3 linked regions of the Schizosaccharomyces pombe genome follow. Changing the gene in region 2 together with the main gene of any one other region gives a genetic interaction. Each region holds a gene or a part of one and is shown on either strand. Other genes may lie near its edges. The genes, in order: brr2, prp1 and rna14.

What was found.
Region 1: mutations in prp1 (region 2) and brr2 are lethal when combined (synthetic lethality), as found in Schizosaccharomyces pombe (one study listed by BioGRID).
Region 3: mutations in prp1 (region 2) and rna14 impair growth when combined (synthetic growth defect), as found in Schizosaccharomyces pombe (one study listed by BioGRID).

Annotation. Positions count from the first base shown.
Region 1 is NC_003424.3:1,457,491-1,468,054, forward strand, and holds brr2 (U5 snRNP complex subunit Brr2), read right to left. Parts: upstream 7,790-10,564; 5' UTR 7,770-7,789; coding exon 1,239-7,769; 3' UTR 955-1,238; downstream 1-954. Other genes in the region: SPOM_SPAC9.02C (polyamine N-acetyltransferase), read right to left, coding at 1-51, 149-247; Tf2-1 (retrotransposable element/transposon Tf2-type), read left to right, coding at 8,357-10,564. UniProt on the Schizosaccharomyces pombe protein: Involved in pre-mRNA splicing. May be involved in endoplasmic reticulum-associated protein degradation (ERAD) and required for growth at low and high temperatures. Required for pre-spliceosome formation, which is the first step of pre-mRNA splicing.
Region 2 is NC_003423.3:2,638,152-2,646,473, reverse strand, and holds prp1 (U4/U6 x U5 tri-snRNP complex subunit Prp1), read right to left. Parts: upstream 4,554-8,322; 5' UTR 4,485-4,553; coding exon 1,764-4,484; 3' UTR 1,577-1,763; downstream 1-1,576. Other genes in the region: ofd1 (2-oxoglutarate and Fe(2+) dioxygenase domain-containing protein 1), read left to right, coding at 1-1,428; ubiquitin hydrolase Ubp14, read left to right, coding at 6,465-6,560, 6,630-8,322. UniProt on the Schizosaccharomyces pombe protein: Involved in pre-mRNA splicing. Interacts with prp6 and prp13. May also be involved in the regulation of the G0-G1/G2 transition. Required for pre-spliceosome formation, which is the first step of pre-mRNA splicing. This protein is associated with snRNP U5.
Region 3 is NC_003424.3:1,346,786-1,351,731, forward strand, and holds rna14 (cleavage and polyadenylation specificity factor complex subunit Rna14), read left to right. Parts: upstream 1-1,978; 5' UTR 1,979-1,994; coding exon 1,995-4,086; exon of another isoform or gene 4,087-4,129; coding exon 4,130-4,239; 3' UTR 4,240-4,446; downstream 4,447-4,946. Other genes in the region: TRAMP complex ATP-dependent RNA helicase subunit Mtr4, read right to left, coding at 1-1,657. UniProt on the Schizosaccharomyces pombe protein: Component of the cleavage factor IA (CFIA) complex, which is involved in the endonucleolytic cleavage during polyadenylation-dependent pre-mRNA 3'-end formation.

The sequences.
Region 1 (10,564 bases), on a different chromosome or scaffold from region 2:
AGCAAAAAGTCCTAACTGAATCTCCGGAGCACGTTTTACCCGATCCTTAATCTATTGAGCGTTTAGTTAATCTGGCTATTCGAAAAACAAGCGTAGACAAATCATTGACAAGATAACTAACAATGAGAATGTCTCAGAATCCACTTACCCTAGCAAAAGAAGCCCTCTCTGCTTCAGGAAAGCAAATGGCTTCCAATTTTGAAACCTCTTCAACTTCGGATCTCTCGATATTACGAATGTTGACCATTACACTTTCTTGGTAAATAAGCAATCAAATACGCGCGTTCAGAAAACGACCTCTTAAACTGTTCTGCAATTTGAAGGGGGAAAATTCTCTTCTAAATCTAGTAATCGCGAATAAGCAAGCAAACAATTCACGTCGAGTTTTTCCCTTATAATTAGTAAGTACTGGCTAGGTAAGATTAAATATAGTAAATTCAACATTATATTTTGACGATATAAACGGTGTTACTTCGCACTTCAGTAGTCCTCCTTGTAAATCTCAACACTTTAGTGCTAGTGGTTCCACATTTATGTGCACAGAATAACTAATCATTGTATTCTCTTAATAATTTTATAGCTTCTGTTCGCTTATAAATATATATATATATCTAGCGATAATTGTTGAATCTACATTGGGTGGTTTATGAACAAAAACAAAATGATATCAATATGTATATAAGTGTAGTAAATACGATATTTAATATTTTTAATAGAAGCGCAGGATAAGAACTCGTGTTGCTTGATTTTTATCAGCGTATTGTAGTAGTTTAACATCTAACTCTTCGCTTCTTCAGTCTTGGGTAATAAACGTTGCATATTTTTTGAATTTCAGGTTAAAACATTTGAAAATTACTTTAACTATCTACATTACCACAGGTCTCGCTACACCTCTCCTTTCAATAGCATCACTGAAACAATTCTCCTAAGTGAACATGAAAATCTATCTTCGCATTATTTGAAAATCAAAATTTGACTTCATTAATTATAAATATATACATATGTTCATGTATTCATATGAAATCATTGCATACCTAGTAATGCATGTTTGGTTGTTAAGAATTTGCACACGCTGATGGCATCAATAAATTTGCTGAAAAAGAAAAGCTAAAGAATCAAACCATCCATTAATTAGCAAATAAATATACAATGAATTCAAAAAATAATTATTTAACAGTTCTTTTGACCCTCAAGTCAAAATTTTTAATTTGGGAATTATCCATATTTTGCACAATACCTTATTCCCCGTCTTCCATTTCTGTGTCCAAAGGTTCCAAAACGTTGCATTCAAATTCTTTTTCATAATCCACACCCATATAAGAATCGCTAAAGCAGCTCAGTTTATATTTTAAAGTTCCCATTGCCGGGGGCACAAATTCCATCTTGGTAGTCAAGGACCTACCTAAGGTAATCTTCTTAATTGCCAAGAGGGTTTTGTCATCCGAAATTACAAGCCACCAATGTTCAGTTTTTTGAGCTGGAAAGTAAGGAGCAATGACAGTCGTATCAACTTCTTCATCCTCTTCCAGTTCTCGAGTTAGTTGAACAATAAGCACAGAGGGTGAATTAGCGTGAACATCTTCAGAGTCTTCTATTTCAAAATCAATGTCAATATCCGGATATTTATTGATAAACTCTGCGCATTTGGCAAGATGTGCATTATCCATATGTAACAATTCAGTACGTTTTTCGTCATCCAAATCGATAATATCAAAGACATCATGAACACCCTCTTTATTGCATCGTTCGATTAAAGCGTCGTCGAAATAGGGTATCTGTTTTAAAGGACTATCACGATCCCATAAAGCTTGCGTAACCATTTGCGACATCTCCATTGGTCTAATACAAGCTATTAAATGGCCTTCGGAAGACAATGTATCAACACAAGCGCCCAGAAGATTATGTACCCTAGTCAAAATGAATTTCTGATCTATAACTAAACCAGGAGGCAATTCAAATCTAGAAAAATGAGCTGCAAGAAGAATAAATGATTTCGTATGAGGATCTTCATAGTTAGGATTACTTAAGCGAACAGGCAGGCGGGAATGAATTCGCTCCAGCACAATATCTTCATACTTTCGAATTGGGAGTTGCTCATATTCTGCTGCTGATGTAACAATTTCTAGTAATCCCTTCATCTTCGTGCGCTCTGACAAGCTCAAAGCAAACGTTTGCATAGTAATGTATGTAATTCCGTAATGAGAAGCTATCATTGCTAAATTTAATGCGACACAACTATCATCCTCATCGTCTACAGTGATTAAGCGTGCCTCACTCAAATCATTCATGGTTGTTTCTACAAGATCCGAAAGGAATTCAGAAACCGACTCATGAGTGATATCTTGAAGACCATAATAGGCAGGATTGGCAACTAGTCTCCGGTACATATACGACCATGTAAGCCAATCTACAGCATCTTGTTTGCTTTCAATGGTTTGCGTAGATATTTCTGACACGAAAGCATCGTGCAGCCAAACTTGAAGATGGCTTTCCATGGGTAATGGCTCATTTAAAAATTTCTTGTAATATTCCTTCTTAGTAGTGACAGTCATAAGAATAACCTGGCTAAGCTCACTTGATCCAATGCTAGCAGTAAACCCGAGCATTTGTAATAACTCACTTATAGGATAATCAATATAACGATGTTCTTTGCCATCATAGTATTGAGTACCCATCACAATAACAGCGTTTGATTTTGCTTTTAAGGAATAAATAACATCGCGAGAAGCTATCAAAACCTTGATAAGTCCATGACGGTAAAGATATTGTACAATATTCTGATCATTGGACGATGTGATTTCACTAATATAAGCAATACCATGCTTCAATGATTGCTGCAAGGCAGCATCTTCAACTTTATTGAAAGCTTCATTCTCCATTAACGAAAACAAATACTCATCTTCATCAGCCATACTGAATGTAACTAAATCAAAAGCTAATTGTTTCGCTACTTTCCTGTCAGGAGTAAATACAATAGTAGACTTTCTCTGAGAAATAAAGTTCTTCAAGCTGCGATATATAGGCTTGCTCATAGCCAACATAAGGGAAGGGAAATGAGTAATACTGAATGATTGCAAATGAATAGTAAGAGGATTAGGCCTGTCTTTAGGACTAAAATTAAATATGCATTGTGGACTAGTCCCAAGCCACTCACCCAAATCTCGAGCATTAGCAACAGATACTGAAAGGCCAACCACTCGGATATTTTTTTCTAATTGTACTGCCATGTACCGTATCCGTGAGATCACTATTTCGTATAATGGACCATAAAATCCACCAAGCAATTGTAATTCATCACATATATAAAAATCAACTTTCTGAATGCTTCGCATACTTCTCCATCTCTTCGACAATGAGTCCCATTGCGATGGCGTGCAAAATATCAAGTCAGCAACTTGTATCAGCTTCAAGTCTTGTGAACGCTCACCCGTCAATTTTACCAAAACTTTCCCATCACCGAGGTCAGAAAACTTGCCATACCATTCTTCATATCGACGATCAACGATTTCCTGAATTGGGGCAATGTAAACTGCAGTACCATAATCTTCTTGACTCCAATGATGTAACAAAGCAAGTTCGGCACAAACAGTCTTTCCACTTCCATTGGGAGCACCAATAAAAACACTATCGTTGGTTTTATAAACAGAGTTAAACACCTGTGTTTGAATCTTGTTAAAAAATTTAAAATTAGGGTAGAGGGAAATGAAGCTTGGGTTATTAAGACTAGAGACCGGGGCGTTCTGAAGATCAAGAAGAGGTGTTGGCGCAGGAAATTTTTCTGGCATTATCAGGCGCTGAAATGAAAGAGGTACCTTAGTTATCGAGTGTAACCATCGATCTGAAACTATCTTTATAAAGTAACAAGGAGGAAGAGGTTCTAACAAAGGTACTGTAAAATTTACAATATGCTCATCATCTTTGTATTTTTTAAGAAGGAAAAATTGTTCATAATGTAGCAATCGGTCCCCGTCCACGTCTTCTACAAGGATCCAAAAAGCTTCAGAAGTGCCGCTTAAATGATCATCCCAGTTGAACTGAGAATTTATAACAAGTTCGACCCGCACAAGCGATCTTGTGATAGGTTGAACATGTGCTTCGACGCTCAACCTTGGAAAAGACTGAACCATGTTGTACACACGCCTCCCTTCTTTTGGCACCCCTACTAATTCTCCTAATTCAGCAGGGTCCAGATCAAAGTATCGCTGCCAAGGAAATTCCTTTTTCTCAACGCGGCGTATTACTTCAGAAGGACAATTGGGAAACTGTCGAAGGGGGCTCATAGTTGGCCAAAGCCTTTTCTCAATCATTTTGCATGTATCAAGAGAGAGTGTTGCAACAGATGACCAACCACGTCTCAATGATATCTCGAATATTGCACGCATAATTCTACCCGCTGATTGCGTAACGTATACCATGTCTGCCACAAGTGCAAATCCATCCAGGCGTTGTCTTGATATATATGATTGGAGAAGGGCATTAATCTTGGCAGCAGGTTCATCTAATCTTTCCCTAATAGGAATTGGTACTCTTTCCAGCAACTTCGCGAGTTCAACTTTCTCTTCTTCACGGACAGGAATGTGCTTAAATTCATCAGAAAAACTGAAGACTCGAAATAACTCGATAAAGGATGTTGTCTGCATTAAAAGACGATTATATATGGCCATCGAGTTATGAGTAACGTAATAACTTGCAGCAACTTTTCCCAATTCCGTAGCGGTCAACGTACCACTCTGACGATTATACACTAGTAACTTGCATTTTTCTAATAAAATGGCAGCTGAATGAAGTAAGTCAGCTCTTTTTTGAACAAGATATTTGTCATCATCATACTCTGGGCCGACGCTATATAGGGCAGGGGATCGTAACATTCGAACATAGAGGTATGTATAACCAAGCCAGTCTACGCCATCTTCGATACTACGAACAGTTCCTAACGATACTTCGGCATTTAAACAATCAGCTAGACGGCGCATAAATTGAGACTCAATTGGAAGCTGCTGATTCATTAGTGATAGATAATACTGTAACTCAGAGTGGGCGGTAATGATAATTCCTTCACCATATGTGTCGAATTGTGGGCGACCAGCTCTGCCAAGCATTTGCAAAACATCCTGAGGAGAGAGTTCTGTCCAGATACCCTTTTCAGGAGAATAAACTTGGGTCCCTTTGATGATCACTGTGTGCGCTGGTAAGTTTACGCCCCAAGCCAGAGTTGCCGTACTCACTAGTACCTGTATAGTACCATCGGCAAAAAGGTCTTCAGACGTTTGGCGATCCTCTCGTCGCATACCAGCATGATGTATGGCAAACCCATATGGGAGCAAATCTTTCAAATTTTCATCACTGGTAGAGTCGGCTTCAGCCCGAAGAATTTCACGGGATGCGGCATCAGAGCGTAACAAATGACCGATGGTCTCTTCCTCTAGTGCCTTATCTCTTATAAAACGAGCGGTTTTAGCGGTTTCTTTGCGCGAATGTACAAATATGAGGACCTGGTTTTTGCCAGCGTGTTGCATAACTTTTTCATAACAAGCTTCATTAGTCGTCTGCATTCGTTTAAACGGTGTTTTTTCTGTAATGCCTATAAATTCTTGCTTTAAAGGGCATGGACGATATGTCGAATCGAAGTAAAAAAGCCCTTTTTTAGGGTCGACATGTAAAAAACTGGCAACATCGGTATAATTAGGAAGTGTAGCAGACAAACCTACTAATCGAACTTGTTCAAGAGTTTCCTCCTGATGGCGAAATATACGAGCAACTATAGATTCTAATACAGGACCTCGTTCATCATGAAGCAAATGAACCTCATCAATAATAACTAAACGGACTAGATTGACATAAGATAAATCATTAGCTTTTCGAGTTATAATATCCCACTTCTCGGGTGTGGTTACAATTATTTGAGTTTCACTAATTTGTTGTTTAGTCAATTGACTATCACCAGTTAACTCTGCGACTCGAATATTGTATGGAGTAAGCCTCTTTGAGAAATTATTAACCATCTCTTGTACCAACGCCTTCAAGGGAGCAATGTAAACAATTTTAAAATTTTGTAAGTTAAAGCTAAGATCTTCACGTAAATGTTTTTGTAATTCGTTAAGGATACATAGCATTGCTACATTTGTTTTTCCAGCACCAGTAGGAGCGCATAAAAGGATGTTTTCGTCAGTACCAAAAGCGATAGGATAAAGATGGCTTTGGATTCGGTTTAAAGATTGAGTATTAAGAAAAGCTTGATGAGACCATTCAGGCAGTTCCTTGATTTTTACAAGACGCTCGTCAGCGCCAAGTACGGCTTTGTTGGGGGCAGGAACATGTATTTCTTCATACCCTTTACCAGTCCTACGAAACGAGCCTTCAGGTAGCTTGACAGCTTTATTAGACATGAGACGTGATCCCTCAGTAAACACATAATTTTCTAGATCAACTTGGTGCTTAGGTACAATTTTATGGGAAGTCAAAGTTTTCGAAAGTGGAATTTCAGAAACGGGCGCAGGTTCAGCTTTCTCAACAACATTATTATTTAATTCATTTAAACCGTCATCAGGTATAGTGATAGCACCAGGGCGTAGAGCTTCGAGAATCCAAGACCGACCAGCAGCACGAATTTGCTCTTCCACACCTAAGCGTTCTTCATCAGTAGCGGCGCGTTTTAACATTGTACACGAAACTATTGTCCAACGATTCTTAGTCAAAAGTTGAACAAGATAGAAATGTTCATAATCAAAAATACTCATCAATTCATTTTCCAATTCACCGAGATCGTAATCAGCCGAAAGTGCCTCAAACGCTTGATTTGTTTTTTCCTGACAAACGACGGCGTCAGCAAAATATTTTGCTATTTCTCGTTGCAGCCAAAATGCATCGATTTCACGAGGATGAACAGTGGGTATTTCGGTAACTTTTTTGGTATCAGCAGAAATAAATGTAACCTCTGTATCCGGATTTTCAATATTCTTTTTCTCTTCTTCTTGAGATATGGAAGTTTCTAAGACGACGTCTTCATCTTCTGCCACTTCATCCTCTTCCATTGCCTCAACAGCTTCTTCCTCTTCATCGGCTTCATTGAACAATACTGGTACGCCAGATTCATTAACGCCTTCTTCATTTAACTCTTCTTCTTGCTCAACTGTATAATCTGTTAAGCGATTTCCCAAGTTAACGAGCTGTGAAAACCGATCCTGTGGGAGTTCAGTACTCAAAACCTCCTCTATTTGCTTTTTACGACCTTGTTCATCTAAAGAACTATCCTTAAGAAGTTCAATAATCAAATCAGCAGCAGAACGGAGGATTTCAGGAGACTGATCGCCAAGGTATTGTTGAATGAAACTCAAGATATAATCATAAACTTCTCGGGTCTCGTCGGTTAGAGGATTATATTTCAAAATTTCAAAAGAATCAAAATATTTAAGTATCGCTGAAGAGCGCTTTTCGCGTTCAGGTTGCCGTATACCAATTTCTAAGGATTCTGCATCTTTACGAGGTAACCGGACCTCCTGAACTTCCTGCGTCAATTCGAGAGGAAGGGTACTAGGTTTTTCAATTCTCGCTCTAGAACCCATATCTGCAATACTAACTCGATTTACCAGAGATTCCGGTTCGCCTGTAGGTTCAGCATCACGTCGTGACACAAATCTTCGATCAGCCTGCGTAACCAAATTTGACATTGCAGAATAACTATACTGTGATTGACCATAGTTTGGCTTCTCCTTACTATTTCCATGTTTGGGAGGCTCTTTCGAGTCCCCTTTAGGATGTGCACTCGACATGATTGTGAGTGGCGGAGGATAAACTGAATTTTCAATTTTCGTCTACTTCGAGGTATTAGAAGTGTTCATTTCTGTCAGCAATACTACACTACGCTATAATACACTACGTTGAGTATCACTATATGTCACATGTTCTAATTATATATCGTACCATGTATGATACGATATGGAGATTGATCTTAATGATAATCTATTAAGATCAATATTATCTGAATACTATAAATAGAGCTACTGCTGAACCTCGTTCCTCAGTTCAGTTATGAGCTATATTAGTGATAGGTAACATTATAACCCAGTTAATACAATACCTATACTCAGTTGCTACTTATACAACCTGTGTATTGTAATATAATAGATCACAAGGAAAGCTCACCGCAGTTCTACGTATCCTTAAATCAGATACCAAACTGCGTAGCTTACAATAACTGAACTCTTGTGATCTACAATTAACTCCTTTTAGGAAAAAGGAATTATTGAATAAATATATATCATAAATATATATATTTCTCTCCTTCTGGGTTCAAAGGAGAAAGAACTTTGGAAGGACTGTTATCCCTTTTGAAATCTCCCAAAGGGAAACATATACAATGTCCTACGCAAATTATCGTTATATGAAAGCAAGAGCAAAACGATGGAGACCAGAGAATTTGGATGGAATTCAAACATCAGACGAACATTTAATAAACCTTTTTGCAAAAATATTATCGAAGCATGTACCAGAGATAGGGAAATTCGATCCTAATAAGGATGTTGAAAGTTACATTTCAAAACTTGATCAACACTTTACTGAATACCCTTCATTATTCCCAAATGAGCATACTAAAAGACAGTATACATTGAATCACCTAGAAGAATTAGAGCAACAATTCGCTGAACGCATGTTTTCTGAGAATGGAAGTCTTACATGGCAAGAATTACTCAGACAAACAGGGAAAGTACAAGGATCCAACAAAGGTGATCGTTTAACTAAAACATTTGAAGGTTTTAGAAATCAATTGGACAAAGTTCAATTTATAAGGAAACTCATGTCAAAAGCAAATGTTGATGATTTCCATACTCGCTTGTTTATATTATGGATGCTGCCATATTCCTTAAGGAAATTAAAGGAAAGAAATTACTGGAAATCAGAAATCAGTGAAATTTATGACTTTTTAGAGGACAAAAGAACAGCCTCGTATGGTAAAACTCACAAGCGTTTTCAACTGCAAAATAAAAATCTAGGAAAAGAGTCCCTTTCAAAGAAAAATAACACCACTAATAGCAGAAACCTGAGGAAGACAAATGTTTCGAGAATAGAATACTCATCTAACAAATTCCTAAATCATACTAGGAAACGTTACGAAATGGTATTACAAGCTGAACTTCCAGACTTCAAGTGCTCAATACCCTGTCTAATCGATACGGGCGCTCAAGCAAATATTATAACAGAAGAAACTGTTCGAGCACATAAACTGCCTACCAGACCCTGGTCAAAAAGTGTGATATATGGTGGAGTTTATCCAAATAAGATTAATCGCAAAACAATAAAACTTAACATAAGTCTAAATGGAATATCAATCAAAACAGAATTCTTGGTTGTAAAGAAATTTTCGCATCCAGCTGCTATCTCCTTCACAACATTATATGACAATAACATTGAAATATCTAGCAGTAAACACACGCTCTCTCAAATGAACAAAGTTTCAAATATTGTCAAGGAACCTGAGTTACCAGATATCTATAAAGAATTCAAAGACATTACTGCAGAAACCAATACGGAAAAGCTACCAAAGCCAATAAAAGGGTTAGAATTTGAAGTTGAACTAACTCAAGAAAACTACAGATTACCTATCAGAAATTACCCGCTACCACCGGGAAAAATGCAAGCTATGAATGATGAAATTAATCAAGGATTAAAAAGTGGAATTATACGAGAATCTAAAGCCATTAACGCCTGTCCAGTAATGTTCGTTCCGAAAAAGGAAGGCACCTTGAGAATGGTGGTTGACTACAAACCTTTAAATAAGTATGTCAAACCCAATATATATCCGTTACCACTTATTGAACAATTACTTGCTAAAATACAAGGTTCTACAATTTTTACTAAACTTGACCTCAAAAGTGCCTATCACTTGATACGAGTAAGAAAAGGAGATGAACATAAACTTGCTTTTCGCTGTCCTCGTGGAGTTTTTGAATATCTAGTAATGCCTTATGGCATATCTACAGCTCCAGCACATTTTCAATACTTTATCAATACAATACTTGGTGAAGCCAAAGAATCACATGTAGTATGTTATATGGATGATATTTTAATTCATTCAAAATCGGAATCTGAACATGTAAAACATGTTAAAGACGTTCTACAGAAATTGAAAAATGCGAACTTAATTATCAATCAAGCAAAATGTGAATTTCACCAATCACAAGTAAAATTTATAGGGTATCACATTTCGGAAAAAGGATTTACGCCTTGTCAAGAAAATATAGACAAAGTCTTACAATGGAAGCAACCTAAGAATCGTAAAGAATTACGACAATTTCTAGGTTCTGTCAATTATCTTAGGAAATTCATTCCAAAGACATCACAATTAACACATCCACTCAATAATCTTTTGAAAAAGGATGTACGCTGGAAATGGACACCAACACAAACCCAAGCGATAGAAAACATTAAACAATGTTTAGTTTCTCCTCCGGTGCTACGACACTTTGATTTCAGTAAAAAGATTCTACTGGAAACTGATGCTTCAGATGTCGCTGTAGGAGCCGTATTGTCTCAAAAACATGATGATGATAAATACTATCCTGTTGGA
Region 2 (8,322 bases):
ATTCGTCCTCTGATCAATGATACACTTCTTCGAAATGTTCGTAAGGAACTTATGGAAAACATACATTTTACAGAGAAAGTAACTGATATTTACCGTGTTTGGCAAACTGGTGATCTAGCAAACTTGGATGGATTAGACAAGAAAGAGCAAAACATGCTTAAGTATTTGCGTCAAGTTCGTGATGCTCTTTACTCTGAGGAATTTCGCTCTCACGTTCAAAAGATTACCGGCTGTGGCCCTTTATCGGCTAGCAAAAAAGATTTGTCTGTTAATGTTTACTCAAAAGGATGCCATTTGATGAATCATGACGATGTTATTGGTACCAGGTGCATTTCCTATATCTTATACTTGGTAGAACCTGACGAAGGTTGGAAACCCGAATATGGAGGTGCACTCCGGTTGTTTCCTACATTACAACCATCCTTTCCTGCTGCTGATTTTTGTCACTCCATTCCTCCTCAATGGAATCAACTCTCTTTCTTCCGAGTTAAGCCCGGACATTCATTCCATGATGTTGAAGAAGTTTATGTAGATAAACCTCGAATGGCTATTTCCGGCTGGTTTCATTACCCTCAGCCTGGCGAACCTGGTTATGACGCTAATTACTGCGACAATACCGTTTCTACTTTGCAGTCTTTAACAATGAAACAAATGGACTTAGAACTTCCCCGGTTTTCATACTACCCAGTTGTTAAGCCAGAACCTTTATCCAAACAGGATACTGATATTTTAAGCAATTATATTAATCCACTTTACCTGACACCTGATGGCATTGAAAAACTATCAAAACGCTTTTTTCAAGATTCTGTTATTGTTTTAGTAGAGTTTTTAAATCAGGAATTTGCAAACACTCTCCTTAAGCGAATCATCGATGCTGAAAGGCAGCCCACTCCTATGCATTCTTCCGAAGTGTCATTCCCTTGGAAAACTGCCATTCCTCCTCATAAGCACAGGTACCTATATTTAGATCATGAAGAGTTTGGCCCTGATATTATTTTGCCCATGGATTTGCAGCGCCTTCCTGCGTTTCAGCGTTGGATCCAACTTGTCAGTGGCTTACCCCTTCGTTCCTTTCATCAAGTTGGTCGACGATTCCGCCCTGGTTCCGATTTTACGCTTGCTACTACGAATGACACAGCTTTACTAGAAGCTACTCTTTGCTTATCTCCGGGGACAGGCATTGCGAATACTGACAATGGTGCATATGATATTTATATGATTGGCGATGAAGATCCTGATGTAGATGCTGCTGTGTATAGGGGTGATCAGCAAGATGACAGTATTTTGCTTTCTTTGCCAGCCGCTTGGAATGTTTTTTCTTTGGTTTATAGAGATGAAGGTGTCCTTCAATTTGTCAAATATGTGTCGCGTCAAGCCGAATCTAGTCGCTGGGATATATATTCACAATGGAATCCCGTTGCTGAGTAAAGGCAACATATACTTAAAAGGGGTTACTTAATTTTTTTTTCTCTAATTTTTTGTCTTATTTTTGAAAGTTTTTCCCTTGTGTTTTTTAAAACCCACTTTCGTGTTGATAGTGTGTATTACATAAAAAGTTTTGGTTTACACTTTTACTGCTTTCTTAACTGGTATTCTTGTTGATTTAAAGTAAGTGTTCAATCGAACCTGTTTAAAAATCGTTCTTTTTTATTAAAAAGTCCGTAAATTTACAAATATCTAAAGTAAATTCGAATACCAATTTAAACATTAATTTTAAGATAAATAATAGATCCAATATGTTACAGTCATCATTTTTGTCGTAATCATAACACATTTATGGCAAGATGTAATAGTTCCTGCGGAGTTTTCCGAGAATTTTTGATATCTTTAGTAATACTGGGCCAAAAATAACCATGATGAGGATCAGCGGTTTCAAAACTTGTAAGCACTTCTTTCTGTTGGTCTTCGTTCCCAGCCTCTAAGCTATACTTATAAAACCAACACCACACATCTCCGTTATCTTGGTCAGCCTTAACAGCTTTTAAAAACCAACTACGCGCCTTATCTGCTTTTTTTTCCAGCCACAGCATCCTGGCGATGGTGCAAAGTAAATGTGCATTGCCTTCACATTTCCTTAAAGCATCTGTAGCACGAGTTTTACGCTGTGCGCGAGGTTCAAGCCATATAGCCTCCGTCCACAGCAAACCCGAAGATGGGCATTCCTGCAAGGCCTTAGCAAGGGCTGCACGAACTTGTGAAATATTCCCCGCCCGGAGTTCCATTTTTATAAGTTCAAGCCATAAAAATTCATTCTTAGGATTTTTAACCTTAGCCCTATCAAACACAACTCTCGCGCGTATAACGGACTGCTTTTCTTCAAGTTTGGCTAGCAAAAGCCACAAAGGTATGGAATAAGGACAAACTTTTGTGCCAGCCAAGTATGCGTCTCGAGCAAGCTCAATCTGCTCTTTATCTTCAAAAATTTGACCCTTCATCATGTACAACTTATCATAATGGGGATAAATTTTCAGTGCATTTTCCAAAAGTTGTAACGCCCGATCTTTTTCGTCCAAAATTCGTTCAAGCGAAATGGATTTAGTCCATATTCGTTCAGTTCCCGATTCGATACGAGCACGGGCAAGTAGCTTTCTGGCACGTTCATTTTCATTGTTCACAAATTCAATTCTGACAGCAGCAAGCCATATCTCTTCGCTATTAGAATTATATTCAAAAGCTCTCCCAAGAATATTCCGAGCACCAGCAATATCATTAACGTTTTTTCGCTCTTTAGCATAAAGCAACCATAAAATTTCGGCTTTAGGACATGATTCTACAGCTTTTTCTAAAATAGAACAAACACTTTCTGTTGTACCATACAGCTTTTCAAGTTCAACAGCTCTCAGCCAAAGTTTCTCACTTTTTGGATAGACTCTTAAAGAAAAAGCAAAAACAGCACGCGCACAATCTATACATTTACGAGCTATAAAAGATTGAGCATCATCTAACCAGGTGTCGAATTGATCTTCTTCATCCAATCCAACACCGAGGCACGTATTAATTATAGCTTGTGCAGTAATCACTGCCCCTTCAGTTTCGCATTTTTCAGCCTCGGAAAGCCACTGATCGCGTTGTAACATACCACCAGTAGCCTGTAACTCACTTACACCACGAGCCATTATTTTTTCCACCCGTGATACATTACCTTGCTGTTCTTCCAAACGAGCAGCAGCAATCCAAACCTCATGGGAAGTACGGATGGTTTGTCTGGCTTTATTGAGCACCTTTTTAGCATTCTCATAAGTTTCAAGTCGAGCAAGAGCTAACCATAAATCAATGGACATGGGTATTAATTCAACGGCACGAGCTAATAGTATCCTTGCATTATCCACTTCTTCTTCTAAATTTACAGCTTCTTTCCATAAGCTTACAGAAGTCGGGTTAAATTCTAAAGCTTTTTTTATAATCCTTTTTTTGTGCTGAGCTTGATTTTCAAGTTTTTCGGCTTCAAGCCATAACGTCACTGACTTTGGTAATTTTTTAACGGCATTTGCAATAATAACTTTTGCTTCTGCAGCCGGGTGTAGTCGTATTGCTTCTAGCCAAACATCCTCAGAGCGAGAACAATTTTCGCAACCTTTTAAAATTAAAGATTGTGCTTGAGATAATTTATTCGCGACCTCTTCAAGCCGCGCAGCAGCTACCCAGCCAGAGGCGTGCTTTGGATTCGTTTCAATAACACTTTGCAACAATTTTCTAGCTTTTCTTATATCACCCAGGTCATTGGCATTTTTTGGAACCATACTATTCAGACTAGTTAAATACCCCTTCGGATCTATAGTCGATGGTGAAGTCAAATTCGACGAAGCTTGTGCTAACTTGATACCTAAAACTTTGTCACGAGCAGCTCCAATTTCAACAAAATTTGTTTTTGTCCCATTCATATCTGGAGTTTCTGTTCCTGCTTGAGTATCCACTGCAAAATTAGAGATAGCTTGATTTTCATTGCGAGCACTTGCAAGAACAAAATCACTTGTTGCATAAAATCTTTCACGTCTCGGCTGTTTAGTCCTTTTTTTACGAGTTAGATCGCCGGGTTCTGGGATATTATTCCAGTCTTCATCTGTCAAAGTGGATAACCCACGTTTTAAGTCCGCAAATTGTGAAGAAACCTTGGGGTTTTCTTTTTCATATTTTTCTTTCTGTAGCTGTTCTTGTTTTTCACGTTGGGATTTTCTTCTTTTACTTAAATGTTCCTCTACAGATTGATATATTTTATCAGCTTCTTCGTCCTCATGATCATATGGAGCAGTAGCAAACAGCGCTACTTCATTGTCAGGATCCTGATAACGAGGATCGATATCTTCTTCTTCCTCTATTTCTGATTTCCTTTGTTCAATTGCAGCCTTTATAGATTCTTGGGATGGCAATTCTTGAGCAGGCCCAAGATCTGAACGCGTTGTAAATCCTGTTGCACCACGTCCTAAACCTGCTACATAGTTAGGAGGTGGCTGCATATTCAGAAAATCTGGATAAAAGTTTGCCATTCTAATTATCTGCAATTAAATGCAATAAGCCGAGCCTTTCGGCTTTATAAATATCTGGTAGTGGCTTTCAAATTTTAAAAGTAGGCAATACGAAGAAGAGAAATTAACTCCTAGCAGCTTTACTACAACAAAGTTAAAAAGAGCCATTAGGTAAAAGTAAATTTAGAAAAACTTAAGATAGAATATTTCTTAAACAAAATAAATTTCCTACTGTATGTAATGATTTTACAATCAAACGATATATAAATAAGCATTGTGATTGACTTGTTATACACTGAACCGCTAACACACGAGTATTTATGATTTAGCATTTGATAGCCAAATAAATTTATTAGATTTTTTGCAACAATTTTGAAAAAATGCATGAACAGTGTTTTCTTCCTTTCTTTTATTTTCCTACTTTTCTTTGAAGATGAATTTACACTTTGTAAATCAATGTCGTGTAAAGTATGCAGAACGGTTGAAATTACGAAAAATATTGTTCATCACAAGCTTTGTGAGTATTGGAATTAAACAAATCTTAATTGAATCCGAGTGATAACTGGACAGACGTTGCAGCAATATTTTTGCATGGCCACTACGTTTGTCTTTTAATGTCTCGGTATATTATACTGGTGTTTCAAATCAATGCTCATCGTATCTAGTATGAGTGTACCTGGACACATCAGTCAAATTTATTTTCGCTTGTAAATTGTCTTATTCTTTATCATAATGCCAAACCATTGTATTTAGAATTTTATTTGCAAAGTAATTTACCAAAACATATTTAACATCTTAAATAGACATGCTTGAGCTACGTTGATTAAGTGTTTTGATTATAACTGCAGGTTGTGCAAGGCTAATGTAATATCTTTTAGAAGTATATTCGTTGGATTGATAAGTTCTAAGAAATTTATACTGACTCCAGCCATAAGATGCAAGCAAGTCAGTTTCACAAAAAAGAATAAAAGATTCAGATATGTTAGATTAGAATCATCTGCAAAACACTGATATCAAAATATGATAATAATCGGCAATATATATGGCTCGTTTCATTTTTAACTTAGCTTTTCCAGGTTAATTTTGGGTATTAAAATTGTTCTATTTTATTCCATTTATAAATATAGGCATGAATTATGTATGTAGTGTGTAAATAAATTTGGTTTAAAGAAAATACGGCAGCTAATCTAGCTGTATCTTTTTCTCTTTTTTTTTTTTTTTTTTTAATATTATAAATTTCAGGAGTACCTGTGTAAATGATAATGATATATTCAGAATGATATTTTAATAAATACAGCGTATATTAACCATCTGTTTACAACTTGAGTGAGTATAGTAGAATCTGATGTGTGGATTTTCACTTATCATAAAAAAAATTCAAGAAATATTAATTAACTATTGTTATTTTAAGACTGTGTAAATAAGCTGTTTCTACAAATCTCCTGCTTGATAACATTATATATGCCAATGTTATTTACGCTGTCCACTGTTGCGTTAATACATGGATACAGCAATGAGTATTCTATTCGAATATTCAATATAAAAATGCAAGCTTACAGGAAATGATACAAATGTTGTTTTAATAAGCAATATCTAATCAGCAGTATAGGTAGACTCGACAGCATACATCTGCACTCGGAAGTCTAAATATGGTAATAGTTCATGCACAGTATTCTTGGTTTTTAATTTATTTACACAATAAAAAGAATAACCCCAGGATGTTCAATTATTGGACCTCTGGAGTTCTACAAACAAGGAAAATTGAGTTATAATGATATTACTCGTTGCAGTACTGTAACGTACTGCAATTTAGTTTATAATTAAACGAATTAATAAGAGTTTGGTATGCAGGATTAGGAGTATTAATTAAGCCCTCTGTAAAACATGATGGTATTTTAGTTGTAGCGATACGTTAATCAACAAGATGCACGTATATTATTAACTAATGTTAATATTCTGCCTACCTCATGTCCATCCATCCATAAACACCTATAGCAACCCATGTCGTGTCCGCACCTCACAGAGACAAACGTTGTAATCCCAGATAATTCTCAGGTAATATATCGTGAAGAATGCGTCCGTTGCTTTAATTCGCAGGTATGTTTTTTAAATAGCTTGTTTTAAAACATGTACTCAGAGGAGTTCAAATTCGTTAACAAACGTTAGGATGAAGAAGGTGGAATTGATTTATGCTTAACCTGTTTTCAATCTGGATGTGGGGAAACTGGGTTAAAACACTCACTTGTCCATTTTGAACAAACTTTGCACCCAATTGTGGTCACCATTGCCAGGCAACCTAAGCAAAAAATTAATGATGAGCCTCCCCAAAAAATTACGAAACTTGAGATCAGAGAAGATAGTGATGAAGATTTATATGATTATTTTTATGTCCCTAAGTGTTTGGTCTGTAATATAATATTAGATATACAGGATCCCTTACTTTCGTTATCATTAGAGGCAATGAAAAATGCTACCAAGGCATCAAACAAAAGTCAATTAACTGCATGGGAAAATGAATTAACTACTTGTGATCATATAATAAATTTACCAGAAAATGAAACTTACGTCACAAATTTGGACAATGCTACATGTTCAAAATGTGATCTTGCAGAAAATCTATGGATGTGTTTAACATGTGGCGCATTAAGCTGTGGAAGAAAACAGTACGGAGGAGGTGGTGGGAATGGGCACGCCCTTTCTCATTATGATGATACAGGACATCCGCTTGCAGTTAAACTCAAAAGCATTTCACCTGATGGTCAGGCTGATATATATTGTTATAGTTGCGATGAGGAAAGAATTGACCCAAATATAAAGACACATATGCTAAATTTCGGCATCGATATCGCCAAGTTGAACAAAACTGAAAAATCTTTGGCTGAACTACAATTAGAGCAAAATTTAAATTGGGATTTTGGTGCCTCCGAAGAGGATGACGCTTCAAAAAGATTGTTTGGACCAGGATTAACTGGTCTTAAAAATCTTGGTAATAGCTGTTATCTGGCCTCAACTATGCAGTCGTTGTTTTCTATTAAGGAATTTGCTATTCACGAATTAAACCTTTTCAACACTTATAATTCTGTTTGTCAAACCCCCACTACAGATTTGCAATGTCAACTTGGTAAACTAGCTGATGGTTTAGTAAGTGGGAAATTTTCTAAACCTAGCAAAATTGGTTTACTCAATAATCCTTCTTCATCGATTCTTCCTTACCAAGATGGTTTGAGGCCTTTTATGTTCAAAGATGTTGTGGGACAAGGGCATTCTGAATTTGGAACTTCTCAACAGCAAGATGCTTATGAGTTTTTATTGTATTTGCTGGGGAAAATACGGAAATCTAGTATTGCGAAAACTGACATTACTAAGATTTTTGACTTTGAAACGGAGCAAAAATTATCTTGTCTTTCCTGTAAACGCGTTCGCTATTCTTCTTTCTCTTCTCAGGGATTGACTTTGACAGTTCCGCGTGTTAAAATTGGTGAAATTGAGGGTGAGCAAATTTATGAAGAAGTCTCAATAGACCAATGTTTAGATGCAACTATACAACCAGACCAAATGGAGTATACTTGTGAAGCTTGTAAAAGTAAACTAGGAGCTACAACTACTACTGCCATGAAGTCGTTCCCGAAAGTCTTGATCCTACAAGCCAACCGGTTTGATTTACAGGGATATCAAGTTAAGAAATTAAGCATCCCTATAATAGTTAATGAAGACGGAATTTATAATTTCGATCGCTTAATGGCTAAGGACCACCCAAATGACGAAGATTATCTTCCTGAAAAGACAGAGACCATTGAATGGAACCAAAGTGCTATTGAACAGCTTCAAGCTATGGGATTTCCTTTAGTCAGATGCCAAC
Region 3 (4,946 bases), on a different chromosome or scaffold from region 2:
ATGTTTCTGTAGCGAACAAAACCTTTAAAAGGCCTTCCTGAAACAAAATCTCGATGACTTCTTTCAAAATTGGCAATAAACCAGAATGATGAATACCAATACCACGTCTAAGAAGAGGTAAAATATGCTCTATTTGTGGTAACTCTCTATCCTTCTCCGATAATTGGTTCACTGCATTATTAAAAATCGTGGTGACCAAATCTCGCTCAGTTTGGTCGTTCATGTCTAACTTTGACATTTGCAAGGCCAAAGCTTCACATTCTCTTTTGCTAAAGCTAAATACAATAACCGGGTTATAATTTTTCACCATAATCATTTTTACGATTTTGTAAATATCAGAAGGTCCTTTGACACCGCCTTTTCCGGTCTTTCCTTTCTTTGCATTACCTTTAGTAGCCATAGCGGCAGGGTCATCGCCTTGTTTTTCCATCAATGCACTCATTGCTCTTTGAAAGTTTTCTTCTCGGAAATTACTTTTCTCATCAACCACTAAATGAATGCCATCGCTACCGCTAGGGAATAGGTAATGTTGAAGAGGCGTAGGTCGAAAATCTGTATAAACTACATGACAAGGCTGACGATGAATTTTTGTAATCCATTCAGCAAATTGCATAGCATTTGGAATTGTAGCAGACAGGAAGACAAAATGTGATTTGTCGGGTAATAAGATAATGGTCTCTTCCCAAACAACACCGCGCTCTTTGTCACGCATGTAGTGAATCTCATCAAAAATAACCCACGCAACTTCACGCATAACCTCTGAACCACGATACAACATTGAACGGAGAATTTCAGTGGTCATAACCAAACAAGTAGCATCTGGATTAATAGTAACATCACCAGTCATAAGACCGACATCTCCAAATTCAGCAAGAAGTTCTCGATACTTTTGATTACTTAAAGCTTTGATAGGACTTGTATAAATAACTCTCTGTTTATCACGAAGCGATTGAGCAACTGCATATTCTGCAACAACAGTTTTACCAGCAGATGTATGAGCACTGACCAAAACTGATTCTTGACGCTCAATACAGGCAATAGACACTGCTTGAAAAGGATCCAAAGTGAAGGGATATGTGCGCGCAGGGGGTATGGGACTTTTATGTTTAGAGATAGGTACATAATCATAATTTGGAGGAATAGAGACTTGATGACGGACCTGATGACGAAGTTCTACAACTTCTTCAGTAGATGATTTAGCTTCGGTCATCCCAACCTTCCCAGCAACTTGTAATGATGCTTCCTGCTCAAAAGAATCAGCTACCGTAGCCTCAGGTATAGTATCGCCTTCGTTTTTTATAGATACTTCATTGGAAATATCATCAGCAGCAATGTCTCCTATTTTTGGCTTATGTTTGGTATCAGCGACTGCAGAATTGTTAATATGAATTCCGTTAACATCATTGTTAGGAATAAGGTCTTGGTTATCCTTCAGATTTTCGATTTTAGCTCTTTTAGTTGCAGATTCTTGTTCCCCTACTGAAGACTCCAACTTTTTTGTACCTTGCTCTTGGTTAGAGGCATTTTTATCTGTTAAAGTACGCTTTATTTTTTGTGAATTTTGTGAATTTTGTGAATTTTTAGATTCCTCCTTTAAGCTTTTTGGAACTTTACCTTCAAAGACTCCAAAAGCATCATCTAACTCACCACCAAACATCACAATTAAAAAGATTTCTTAAACTGCAATGTGGAGTTGGTGTTGGCAAAAATCTGTTTTTTCTCTGTTTACGAAAGATGTATTAGCATTTGTTAAATAAATTATACTACTTGATTCACTAAGTTACCTAAAGTATTGAAGCGTGAGCCTCACAAAATAGAATTAAGCACTGTGAAGTTTCTCCCAAATGTAGACAAATTTCCTTTATAACCAGCATTATGAAGCTTGCAAGTTGATTAAAAGTATTGAATGTTACCTCAATGTTACTGAAGTAACAATTTCTGTATGTATCAAATGCGAGAAAGCTGTGTGAATTCTACCAGCGAATACTTAAATTATGAATTCTGATGACAATGTCGAAGCCGATGCTAGCTCGAATATTATAAAAGATTCTCCAAAAATTAAAGAACAAGAAAATACCTCAACAGTTAATGAGAGTGATGTATTAGCAACTTCGACGACTGCCAGTAGTGGTGTAAAACGAAAACGTCTCCCAAATGACCTTGTAGGACAATTACGGGATAAAATACAAGAGAACCCTAACGATATTTCTTCTTGGTATGCACTGGTAGAAGAGTATGGATCTAAGGGGAAGCACGAAGAGTTAAGAGAAACTTATGAACAAATGTTGCGACCTTTTCCTTACGTTCCACGAGTTTGGGTTGATTACATTAGTTCTGAGCTTGCCTTTAACGATTTCCATGCCGTTGAATTGTTATTTAGTCGATGCCTTGTCAAGGTTTTATCGGTTGATTTATGGACGTTGTACTTAAGTTACATTCGTCGAATAAATCCAGATGGTGAAGGACAATCTCGTTCTACAATTACTCAGGCTTATGAGTTTGTAATAAATACTATTGGTGTTGACATACTCAGTGGCCCTATATGGTCTGAGTTTGTGGATTTTTTACGTTCTGGCCCAGCTAATTCAACATGGGAGCAACAACAAAAACTAGATCATGTTCGTCGAATTTATCAAAGAGCTATCACTACACCTATCCATAATATTGAAAAACTTTGGCGTGATTATGATGCATTCGAAAATAGTGTAAACAGAGCAACGGCCAGAAAATTTGTAGCTGAGAAGTCTCCTGTTTATATGGCGGCGCGGGCAGCAATGAGGGAACTTTCAAACCTTACAGAAGGACTCAGAGTTTACGATTTTACCTTTGAACGTAAGTATACAAAAGTTGAAAGAATAGCGTATTCCCGTTGGATGAACTGGATTAAATGGGAACAAAGTGATCCATTAGATTTACAACATGGCACGATGTTACAGAATCGAATTGCTTATGCCTTTGAGCAAGCGATGTTGTATGTTCCCCTTTGTCCGCAGATATGGCTCGATGGATTTTCTTACTTTTTGAGCATTTCGGATGAACAGCGTGCTCTTCAAACTATTCGTCGCGGAATGCGTTATTGTCCTTCAAATTTTGTTTTACACGTTCGCTACGCGGAACATGAAGAAGCGAATAACCGTACATCTGAAATCCGCTCTACCTACGAATCTTTAATTGCAGCTTTAGCTCGGGAAATTAGTCAATTGGACTCCAAAGCATCGTCGTCCTCTGAAAGCTCAACAGATGGAAACCCTCAAGAAAAAAAATTACCTGAACACCTAGTAAAGCGTAAAAGTAGACTTGTTCGTCAATACAGTCTTGCTTGGTGTTGTTTAATAAATGCTATTAGGAGGACTGAAGGCGTGAAAGCAGCTAGAGCTATATTTACCAAAGCTCGAAAAGCACCATATCAGTCTCATGAGATATATATAGCTAGCGCGATGATGGAACATCATTGTTCGAGGGATCCGGTTATTGCCTCTCGAATTTTTGAGTTGGGTATGAGACATTTTGGAGATGTTCCAGCCTATGTTTATAAATATTTGTCATACTTAATAGCTATAAACGATGAAACTAATGCTCGCGCGCTATTTGAGAAAGCCATCCCGAGGATTGCAGCTGATGAAGCTAAACCCATATATCAAAAATGGCTTGACTATGAAAGTAATTATGGCGATTTGAATGCAGCTATAGCACTTAGTCAAAGAATGGCTGTTGTTTACCCTCAAGAGTCCACACAAGCCATATTTTTATCGCGCTATGGCTTGAAGGATGATGCTGAGGAAGAAGAACGGGAAACAAAAGAAGCGGAAAAAATTAGAGAACTATCTGTTCGCTTAAATGGAGGAAATGGATTCCCGGGCCATGTTCATAACAACAGGGAAGATGATGAAGTTTCTATAGCCTCTACCTCTTCTAAAAGTAACGTCGAAATGGAAGATACTCGTTTACTTCCTGCGTCTTTGGAATTAGCAAACACTCAAGGAGCATCGAATCCACCTACTTCAGCACTTCCAACTGTTCCGGTACCGTTACCATCTATAATAACCGAATTTTTGGATGAACTCCCAGCTCCTCAAGTAATAACTGGTATGTTGCATAATTGCGCGTTTATTGACTAACTATCTTTTAGGTCCTCGAATCCAACCAACAAAACTTATCGATCATATTATTAAATCAGATATCCCTTTCATTCGTTTACGAAATGCAAATGCACATTTGAAGCGTGCCAGATTTAATTAAAAATTTAGACTATTGCAAAGAAATTTTCTGCACTCTTTCCATTTTTGGTGGTGAGCAAAGTGAACTAATAATGAAATAAAATTAAGTTTTAGGAATGATCGATGTTAAATTACAGCGCCAAACGATATAGGTATATTTTAAAGACGAGTTTATTGTATTACTCAATTTTATCTTTTTTTTAATATATTAATCGTTACAAGAGCAAAGCAATGTGAATTTAGATTTGAGGTTTTGGGTCAAGTATGTAAAATGATTTCGCAAATCATAAAATTCACTTTGGTATTGAATATAATTAGAAACTTTAATCGACGCTGAACCCTTACTTTAAAATTTCCTTTTTTGCTAATTATTCTTAATTTGTGAGGAATGAAGTTTGAGCTTCATCGCATTTCGCATTTAAATATGGTAACCGTTCTTATATTAAACTTAACCGTATTTAAAGTGGTGCATGAAGCATAACTACAGTAAAATTATGTTAAATCAATTTTTAAATTACAGTTGACTCGACACAGAGTACAAAGTTAACTATCCGCTTATTATCTTAAATTTTCTATTTGAAGCTTGTAAATTATATGAAAAGTATTTATTGGGAACTACCCATCGATAACATGATGTTTTCCGTAATTTAATATAAGCAATTATGTGATAATACTAATTTTCTTTTCTTTTTTGTAATGTATTCGACCGCAACTTCATGTTCTTAAATT